2 linked regions of the Rhinolophus ferrumequinum genome follow. The protein of the gene in region 1 interacts with the protein of each later gene in a biochemical or structural test. Links are inferred from orthologs where the notes say so. Each region holds a gene or a part of one and is shown on either strand. Other genes may lie near its edges.

Region 1 (4,695 bases):
TCCTGGCCGTTCACCGCATTTATTAATTCTGAGTGATATGGACTGATATTTTATTTCTACCAACTCTCTCTGTCCCAGAAGCTCCTGGATGCAGGAGCAGCACAGAGCCAGGGAGAAAATGATTTAAATAAGGGTGTGGTGAATTGTTGCCAACACCTACCTAAATTGCAGTAAGGAGAGAAAGGTAATGAAAAACTGCAAGGGCCCATTTTGAGAACCCATTTTTAAATCTAGAAGCTGCTCACACACACACCCACGCCCCTTTTTTTTTTTCTCACTGCAGTACCTCTTTCCAGATACAGCATATTTGGGGAAGGTGGAGCTGGGGAAAATTTTGGCAAAGGGCTTAGCCAACTAGTGCTTGACAAAAAAAAAAGGTCCCGAGGCTCATATAGCTCCAATTAGCTAATAAACTTCTCACTACCACCAAGGCAAGGTGTATGCTAGCCCTTCTCCTATGCTAAGAAATATATATATTCCATGGCTGCCTCTCTGTCCTCTTTTACTCTTAGAATGTGCCATTCGTGGTTATTTTAATCTGATACATCTGTGAAAAATGCTGTGTGGGAGTCAGCGTAGGAAATGCAGGAGAATAATAGAGATCACAGATTTTGCTTCCCCCACCTCTTGCAGCCAGCCCGGGGCCCGCCCTTCCTAGGGAGGCTTCTCAGAGGCCATAGCTGAAGTATTTGCAGAGCGAGGATGTTATGCTGCAGCACAATTCTCCCAGACCACTCCCACATCCAGAAACAGCCACCGGAAGATTACACATATTGTAGTTATGCAGAAGAACTGCTGGCTCCATCACTCCCAACGCTCAACTGCATGCATAAAACACGCTGCAGCTCTGCCCTGGATCTGATCATGGGAGCGCGGAGTAAGGTGGGGGTGGCAGGAGTGTGTCTTTCTCCAGGCCCAGGAGCAGTTATCCTATTCCATCTGTTTTGTATTATTTCACTTGTTTCTTCCAAATGCCCAAACTAATTAGACTTCCTGCCAATGCACAGAAACATTTCTCCCCAATGGTTGGCTCCTCAGGCTTTCCAGCACATGAGAGCTTTAAAAACCCTAATGCCCACGCCGTAAGCCAGAACAATTAAATCAGAATTGGGGGAGGAGAGAGTCCAGGAATCTTTGAAAGATCCTTCAGTGATTCCCAGGTGTTGCAAGATTGAAAACCACTGCTCTAGTCCGTCCCCCTATTTTATTTCGTGACCCTCAGTTCTACTAAATGATAGTTGTTTACTTGTCTTCCTCCACTAAAATGTAGGCTCCAGGAGTTCTGGACGCCACCTCTGCTTGTTCATTGCTATGTTCCTAGCAGCACCTAGAACAGTGCCTGGTTAGATACGAGGCACTCATTAAATAATTGCTCAGTTAATATCTGCATGCCTACACAGCCTCTGATTTCAGGGTTTGATGTAGGCAGCAGCTGCCACGTTCCTTTTCTCTTTCACTCGCTGGAAGGCACAATCACAAAAGGGTGACCCATAAAAATCCATAAACACCTTGTTCCTAGCAAATCTGAGTTTAATCAACAACGGTTTTTGTTGCTGATGTTTAATCTCCACTATCACAAGGCGTAGGCAGTGCTACGCAATGTCCCGCATCACCCAGTAAAAGAAGAAACTCCTTCGTGACATTAGGTACAAGCAGGTAGCCCTATTCTATTGACTCTGCTCTGATTGGCACACTGCCATAAGGAAAGGGGCAACGTCTGAGGCTCGCTTTAATGACCATGCTAGGGACGGTCATTTGAGGGTGTTTGTCAAAGCCAAGCTCCTGTCTATGGAAAGTGGAGCAGAGGCAGAGCAATAGAGCAGCCTGAAAACTGTGTGGGCGGGCTCTCCACAGGACTATCTTTAGTCATTCCCTCTATATAAATGGGGCAGGAGGGGACATTTCATAGACCCACTGTGAGAAGCACTCACTCTCCTGGAAGGGCACACACTCTGGAGAGAAAAGAGAGTTGTGCTGTGAGCCACTGTCTCCTGGGAATAACCCTGCCCATGGGTTGACAAGGCCACAAGCAAACATCCCCCAGAACAATGCAAGCAAACCAAATGACAGCTGAGGGGCATTTTAAAGAGATGGGTACACAATGTCTCACAACTCCTTGGTTTTGAACACTGGTTACAGAGAAAATACATCAACTACCTATCTGTTATCCTTTCCCATGATCCTGCAGACTCCATCTCCTGAGTCACCAAAGGGGAGCCCTTGATATCACACCTTTGCGGCTCCCTAATCTTACCACAAAAGTTGATAAAAATCTAATCTATAGTGGCGCAACTGACCTTTAAAATCATTCTCACGAGAAGAGGTACAAGGAAGTGACACTTTGTTTGGTTCCTTTTTTTTTTTCTTTTCTAGCAAACTCACAGCTGCTGAGGGAATTCTCCAAAATGGGTGAAGTACGGCTCCCTAGGTCAGGACACACAGTACCTCTAACTGAACACGCCCTTCGGGTCTTTATCAATAACAACGGGAAGATTGCACTTGGCTTATCTAATGTTAAGCCAGAATCTCTAGACACCTCCAGAGGCAGCACAGTCTTGGGGTAGGGAAACCAGGATGGGTGAAAAGACAAATTCAGACAAACCAGAGGCTTAGAGATGACCTTCAGGAGCCCAGCAACGGGCTCTTGACTTGAAGAACGCAAGCATCTCTGTGCCATAAACTCAGAAATCCAACCCTACCCTCACATCACAGTATCTCCTTTCCTCCAGTCCTTGAGCACACCCCTAAGAGCCCCAGACCAGGAGTCCCTGTTCTGTCACTCACTGGCTGCCAAGACCTTGGGCAGGTCAACTTTTGTCTCTAGGGCTTAAGAGTCTCATCTGTACAATGGAGATCATGATCTCTGTCCCACAGGAATGTCTGCGGCCCAAAGGAGGATAACACACAGTGCGGAAGCACTTTGTCAGAGAGTGAGCCCTGGCCCATCCAAGCCTTTGGTACGATGACTAATTGCTTCCCTGGTCCTGCCTTCTCCCCTTTGGAGACCCGGCTCCATCTTCCTGCCCCACCTCCCTCAGGCCGGGGTCTTCCGGCCGTCGGAGCTGGGGAGCAGGATCTCCCTCCTTTGGGTGGGGGATGACTCAGGCTCTTCGCCAGGCGCCCCAGAGGCCAGGCTGCGTACCCCGAGCCCGCGACCCGGCCCCGGGCCCCCTTACCTCCATCGGTTGATCCCCACGGAGGAGGAGGCCGCGAACCAGGGGTCGAGGATGTAAATACAGCGCACGCAGCGCGCCCCGCGCACTGCCGCCAGCAGCGCCGGGTTGTCGTGGAGCCGAAGCCCCTTGCGGAACCAATGCACTGAGGAGGCGCCATCCGTGCCGGCCTCAGGCGCAGGGGTCACTGCTGCCGCGGTCACCACAGCCGCCGCCATCACCGCCCTGACTGCTCCCGGCCACTGCTGTACAGCCCCTGTCAGCGCCGTGGGCCCCGCCCCCAGCCCGCCCAATGACCTATGACACCGCCTCTCCTCTCTGTGGCCCTGCCCCTCGGGCCCTGGGGCGTCTCTGCCATTGGCTGGGCGCCTCCCGCCGAGCGATTGGCCCAGCGGCGCCGAGTCCGGCCCCGCCCCCTCACGTTCCCACCATGTGTCGGTGGGCTTGGGAGCGGCCAGCGGGCAGGGCAGATGACGCAGGCTGGAGATTCTCGCGGAGATCTGGACACAGACGCAGTCTCGAAGGACAGCGGATCCCTTACATGCGTCCTATTCAATGCCTGTCACCGGAAAAAGCTGCCTGGGCTGGCGGGGGTTGCTGTGACTCCAGCCAGTAACATACGGAACCTGGACAACCGGCGTCCAGGTCACCATGTCATTAACATCGTCATCACCATATACCTCAATCTATTACATCATCTACAGCTACCATTTATTGAGTGCACTTTACATGCCAAACAACGTGATAATCTCCTTATACATACTGTCTCATTTACTACTCTCAGCCCAGTTGCATTTATTCAATAAACCCCAGTGAAAGAGCTGTTATTATTCTCATTTTACAGATAAGTAAACTTTGAGGCTGCTGCAGGTTGAGGGACTTGCTCAATATCATAAAGCTAATAAGAGGACTCCATCCAGATTATTGTGATTTCTAATCTGCTTTTATCCGGAAAGCTATATTTCTATCTGTGCTGAGCAACTTGACATTTGCAAGAGGCAGAGTCTGATGGGTAGCAGTAAAAGGGTTGAGAGTAGGAACTGGAAATGTGGAGGATGTGGGTTGCGATAGTAATTATGACATCAGATGAATTTATTTTCTTCTAGTTCTATGTATAGGAGACCCAATGGTACAATTGTGCTCAAACACTACTGGAATTCCCTGTGGGATTCAGAGGTATGAAGCACACTGTCCCCACTCCTGCCCTGGGGAGCCAGGTGGAGCCCTCTTATTCCTATGGAGGCTAGCACTGGGCTTGCTGATTGGCTGACTGAATGGCAAGACAAGCATATGAACACCTGCAATGAAGTGTTGACCTTAGGCTAAATGGTCTGGTCATACTGGAGCTCTGGGGTTATCAAGTGGAGAACAGTCTGTTTCAATTTGGTGCTAAGTTGTGCTAAGTTCCCATGCTTGGAACCCTTACTGAACTTGGGAATGAACAATAAAGGAATTTAGCAATTTTATGGTTACCAGTAAAATTTTATGGTTACCAGTATGGTACCAATAAAATTGTTACCAG
Region 2 (4,695 bases), on another chromosome or scaffold:
TTTTGGCTTGTTACTTAGAAAAATAAGTATCGCAGGCTCTAAACTAAGTGGGGACCACTAAGTAGTACCTCTATTTAGTTTAGAGCCTGCAATACTTTTGTCTCTAGAGAGCAGTTCTAGCAAGGTGGTGGTTTGGATTTGGAGTCATAGTAGCTTTTGAAAAGGATAGCTTGTGGCTCCAACTCTCTTCTTCTGGCACATCAGCAGACAAGAATTTCTGATTCCAGTGTGGGACAATGGATGTGCGTATGTATGAATAAGTCTTTGCAGATTCTGTACCTAGTAGCTAGCAAAATTTGTGAAAAAGGATTGGGGGCTGGAGGGAAACAATGGCAGAGACCCCTGCTCTTCATGCCATTAAAATCAGCTCAGGAGGTCTTAGCACATGTGCAATAAACTGCCTTTTCCTCATTGCTCTACTTAAGTGAAGTAAATGGTGTATATCCTATTGAAATAGCAGGGGGAAAGAAAGGGAGAAAACAATGAGAGGTGGTGGCAAGAGGGTAGTTTCACGGAAGACTAAAATTTACGTGTGAATCTAAGAACGCTTTTCTAAATATACGTTTAGAAACGAGTAGTATAATCTACAATGTAATCTTAATTTAAAAATACCTCTCACAGTAATAATGTCCAACTAGAGGTTGAAATAACACTGTCATTATGACCTGTTTTTCTTTCACTTATTCTGAAGGCTTACTTTAATTTTAGCGTACAAAATTTGGGTCAAAGAACAAAGAGTTTGCTACCTCGGGCTTATAATTTCTCTTCTGAATATCTAAACCTCTTCAGAATTTTGAGATAACAGAGATTGGAAAAAAGAATGAAGCCATCTTTATAACTTCTACTCCTCATTACAGAATGCTGATCTCCTCTTTCTGGAGAAGTCGTCTAAACCCAGAACTATCCAACTTAAAGATGAGATGATTCATCTTACTTTAGAATATATGGACATATAAATGAAAATAAAATGACAGTCTTATTTACACAATTATCTTTACTAATACTTTGCTGATCCTAATAGATACTTTCTTTTATCTATTACCACCCTGTTTTAAATAAAGTATATTTCAGTACCTTTCCAAGTTGAGGGGAGAAAAAAGTTGACATATTAAAAAGAAGTATGCAACACTTCATCTAGATATAAGATTATGTGATCACCAAAGTGTATTTTAGGCACTTACTACTTTATAAATAGCAGAACAAAGTGTGTAAATTACCATGTATATGATATGATTATAATTTTTCAGGATTCTAGTCCATTAAGCAATAGAAAAAACTCTAAGCCCAAATACCAATAAAAATGGTCTCTGTATTATCCTCATTTGTGCATGAAAAAAGAGATCACCCAGTGGGCATCTAATAAAAATTATAAATGTCAATTTTTCCAAGATGATCTCATTTATCCATGCAAAAATTTACATGGCTTTCAAAAGTATTTTATTAAATCTATTTATACATGAAGTCCTTCTGTAGAGAAAGTTAAACAATTCAAAGCACCCACCAGTCTGCCAAGAATTTACATCAATGGATTATCTCCGCCTTTTCATCAAAATGACACATCTATTATATTTTAACAGGACTGAAAGAAAAGGAAGCTGGACAATCAATGTCAAAGTGACTTTGTAGAGCATCAAAACCAGGCAGGCCTCCTCAGGGCTCCAGCAATTCAATTTCAAAATGCAACTTTTCCGGGCTCTAAATAATTGATGCAACTTGGGCCAGCAGAGCATTTGGTGAGGGACTGATATAACCACTATGAAACTAATGAGGAAAAACTGCAGATTCATTGAGCAGCGCAGGGAGTTACTGAACTAACTCATTATTTCCACATACTCTGAAAGGAGCAGTCACACTTGTGTCAGATGAAGGGCACAAGAGACCACTTAGCCGTGCGTCCCTCACTGTATCAGGCACTCTTAGTACACTGGGCTTGTGGTAATTTTAAAAGCCCATTTATACTTAGCTCTCAAAAGCCTGCTTTGGCCTCGTATTTCCTTTCCATTTATGTTCTGCTTTGACTAATACCAAAATTAACACGCATTCTTTGGCTGGCATACAAAAATAAAGCCACGGAAAGAGATTAACTCTCAGAACTAGAAGGTAGGGAAAATGCACTGGTGAAAATCTGTCTAGTGGTCATTTGTAGATAACTGGCAGTCAATGGCATTTTTATAAATATTTCAGGAACGATAGAAAATAAAAGCCTAATTAAAATATCTGGGCCACTGGGTATCATCAGCAACAAGATAACACATACAGTAGTAATCTCACTTCTTAGCTCAGAGATGCAGGCCCATCATCTGATAGGCTGTTGCCTGATCCCTGTCTGCAGCGCCACCTGAAGCAGCTGCTCATCACAAGTTGACCAAGTTTTCCACTTGGCCGCGCGCCCCGGGCATGTCCTCCTCCCTGCGCCACCTCCCTGACTTATCTCGCGCGCCCTACCTGGACCGTCTGTTTTGACATTTAATGCCCCTCATTTCTCCAGCGATTAGGCACGGGCGTGGCCCCGACCCAGCGCGAGCTCAAAGGTGCCTGTCATCAACCCCTGCCAAGAAGAAGAATGCCAGGCTACAGCCGCGGCGCAGCGGGGCCGCGGGGAGGCTGCACGCGCCGCCGCGCACGCACCACGCCTTGTTGACATGTTTAGAAGCGGGCGAGCGGGGAAACGCCCCCAAGCAGGCTCCAAGGTCTGAGCGCGGCGCCCCGCCCCGCCCCGCGCTCGCGAGGGGCGGCCCACGCGCGCCCGGAACCGCGCGCCCCCGGGCCCCCCCTGCAGTCCACCAATGTCGGCCGACCCTCCCCAGTCCCGCCGTCACAGCGGGGCTCCGGCACTAACCCTCCGCCGTTACCTGCTGCCGGCGGCGGCTTCCCCCACACACCACCCCGGGCTCCGGGGATGGCGGCGGCTGGCTCCGCGGCTCTCACATGAGGCCCCCCGGGCCCCGCGCTTCGGGTTCCCGCCGCCGCGGCCCCCCGCGCTCCGCCCGCATCCGAGACGCTGGTCCCGCGGAGGGCACCAATGCGGATCCACCTTTGCGGCTCTGGCTGCCCAGAGAGAAGCCTTCCTTCCCAGTCCCGCGCCGTCCGCGTCCTGCCCCCGAGACCACTCGTCGCGGTGAAAAACTCAGCGAGCTCCCGCCGCCGCGGAGACCCTCGGCACCTCGGCCCGGACACCGACTCCAAAATGGCGCCCGGGGCTCGCGGCCGCGCGCTTTCCCTGGCGCGTCTCCGCCCGAAGGGGGCGCGTGTCCGCAGTGGCGCGCGCGCACGCGCGGCGGGCGCGAGTGGGCCGCGCCCACGCAGGAGCGCGCACTGCCCGGCGCAGCTGGGGGGCTTCCGCCTCCAGGTTCCACGTGACTGCTGCTTTTAGGAGATTTTTGGTTTTGGTGCCAGAGTGGGAGGGCTGGAGCTAAGGAGATGTCTAAGAGACTATCTGTGGTTGGAACTAGGAAGTTGAAGGAGGTGGCGCAGAATGAGGAAAGGAGGGAGTGTCTGGAGCCTGCAGGAGCCCAGCTGCCGGTCGTGGGGCAGGAGGATAAACAGGAGCTGTGAGCCCCTGACACCCCTCCGCGGCCGGGCGCGGCCTCGGACGGCCACTCCTGCGCCGCGGAGCCCGAGAGGTTAAAATACAAGCTCTGAAACTATGCACACTTCATACACCGGTCTACATAAGGTGTTTTTACAAACTGCAAGGATGTATACCAGCATGGTGACAGTGTTGACGCTGGGAGTATAGATGATTTTTATATTCAAAATATATTTTTCAATTTTTCTAAAAACGATTTTTATCATCAGAGTTAATGCTTTTTAAAAACCTCCTTTATAAAATAGACTCCTGAAGTCTGTAAATAGCTTTCTGAAACACAATAAGGAAAATGTAAGGGAATAGTTATTTAAAACCTCTGCTGAACCCTTTTGTAAATCGACGTATCTTTGTTCCTGATACCTAGTTAACTTGTTTTAAACGTTTGGATTTTTGGATTGTGGGTTTTCTTAAAAAGTTAGATTGTCCTTAGGTGCAAAATCATAACTTGAGTCATACACCACTCCTCCTGCCTGCCTCAAAAATAAAAAGAAAGTAATTTTCCATCCAAAGATGGCTTTTCAAGGATTTGACCCATGTGTAGGAGACTGGAAGGGAGTGATGCTGCACTCTTCCAGGTCACACCCCTCCAAACCCCCAAATTGAGCTAGGAAGCCATGTGTAAAATTATATTTGGACTCACTTGGAAAAACGCCAGTGTTTTCTGTTAGGACCTGACAGTTGAATCATCAAGTCAAACTGAACAAAGTCTCTAATAACATATTGTGGTTGTACCTGAACTGCAACATTTTTTTAGGTCCCTGAGTGACTGAATGATGAAGCAGGTTTTTAGACAGGTAATGGTAATTACTAGAGGAAGAAAAACAGATACAGGCCCATTTATTTAAAGCTAGGTCAACATTATAAATGATCAGCAAACCACATTAAATCAGCAAACATAATGAGTATATATTATTACCACATTCAGACTGTCACACTCCAATTGTACTCCTTTTTAAATTCCTCATTACAGGCTATCTTCTCCCTGAAGGATCTTGGTTCAATTTACCTGTCAAATTCTCCCTCTTCATCCCTATTATTATGAAAATGTTTTATTTTTTATTTTTTTAAAAGAGACGTATTTATTTTTGAATCAGTCAATACTTATT

What was found. The genes of interacting proteins can lie anywhere in the genome.
Region 2: the proteins of CRY2 (region 1) and FBXL3 form a complex in vitro, tested with the Homo sapiens proteins (2 studies listed by BioGRID, with this or other methods). The link is inferred for Rhinolophus ferrumequinum from reciprocal best matches to the Homo sapiens genes CRY2 and FBXL3.

What each region holds. Positions count from the first base shown.
Region 1 is NC_046294.1:15,001,487-15,006,181, forward strand, and holds the start of CRY2 (cryptochrome-2), read right to left. Parts: upstream 3,434-4,695; 5' UTR 3,392-3,433; coding exon 3,177-3,391; intron 1-3,176. UniProt on the Homo sapiens protein: Transcriptional repressor which forms a core component of the circadian clock.
Region 2 is NC_046287.1:27,891,370-27,896,064, forward strand, and holds the start of FBXL3 (F-box/LRR-repeat protein 3), read right to left. Parts: upstream 2,549-4,695; 5' UTR 2,481-2,548; coding exon 2,446-2,480; intron 1-2,445. UniProt on the Homo sapiens protein: Substrate-recognition component of the SCF(FBXL3) E3 ubiquitin ligase complex involved in circadian rhythm function. Plays a key role in the maintenance of both the speed and the robustness of the circadian clock oscillation.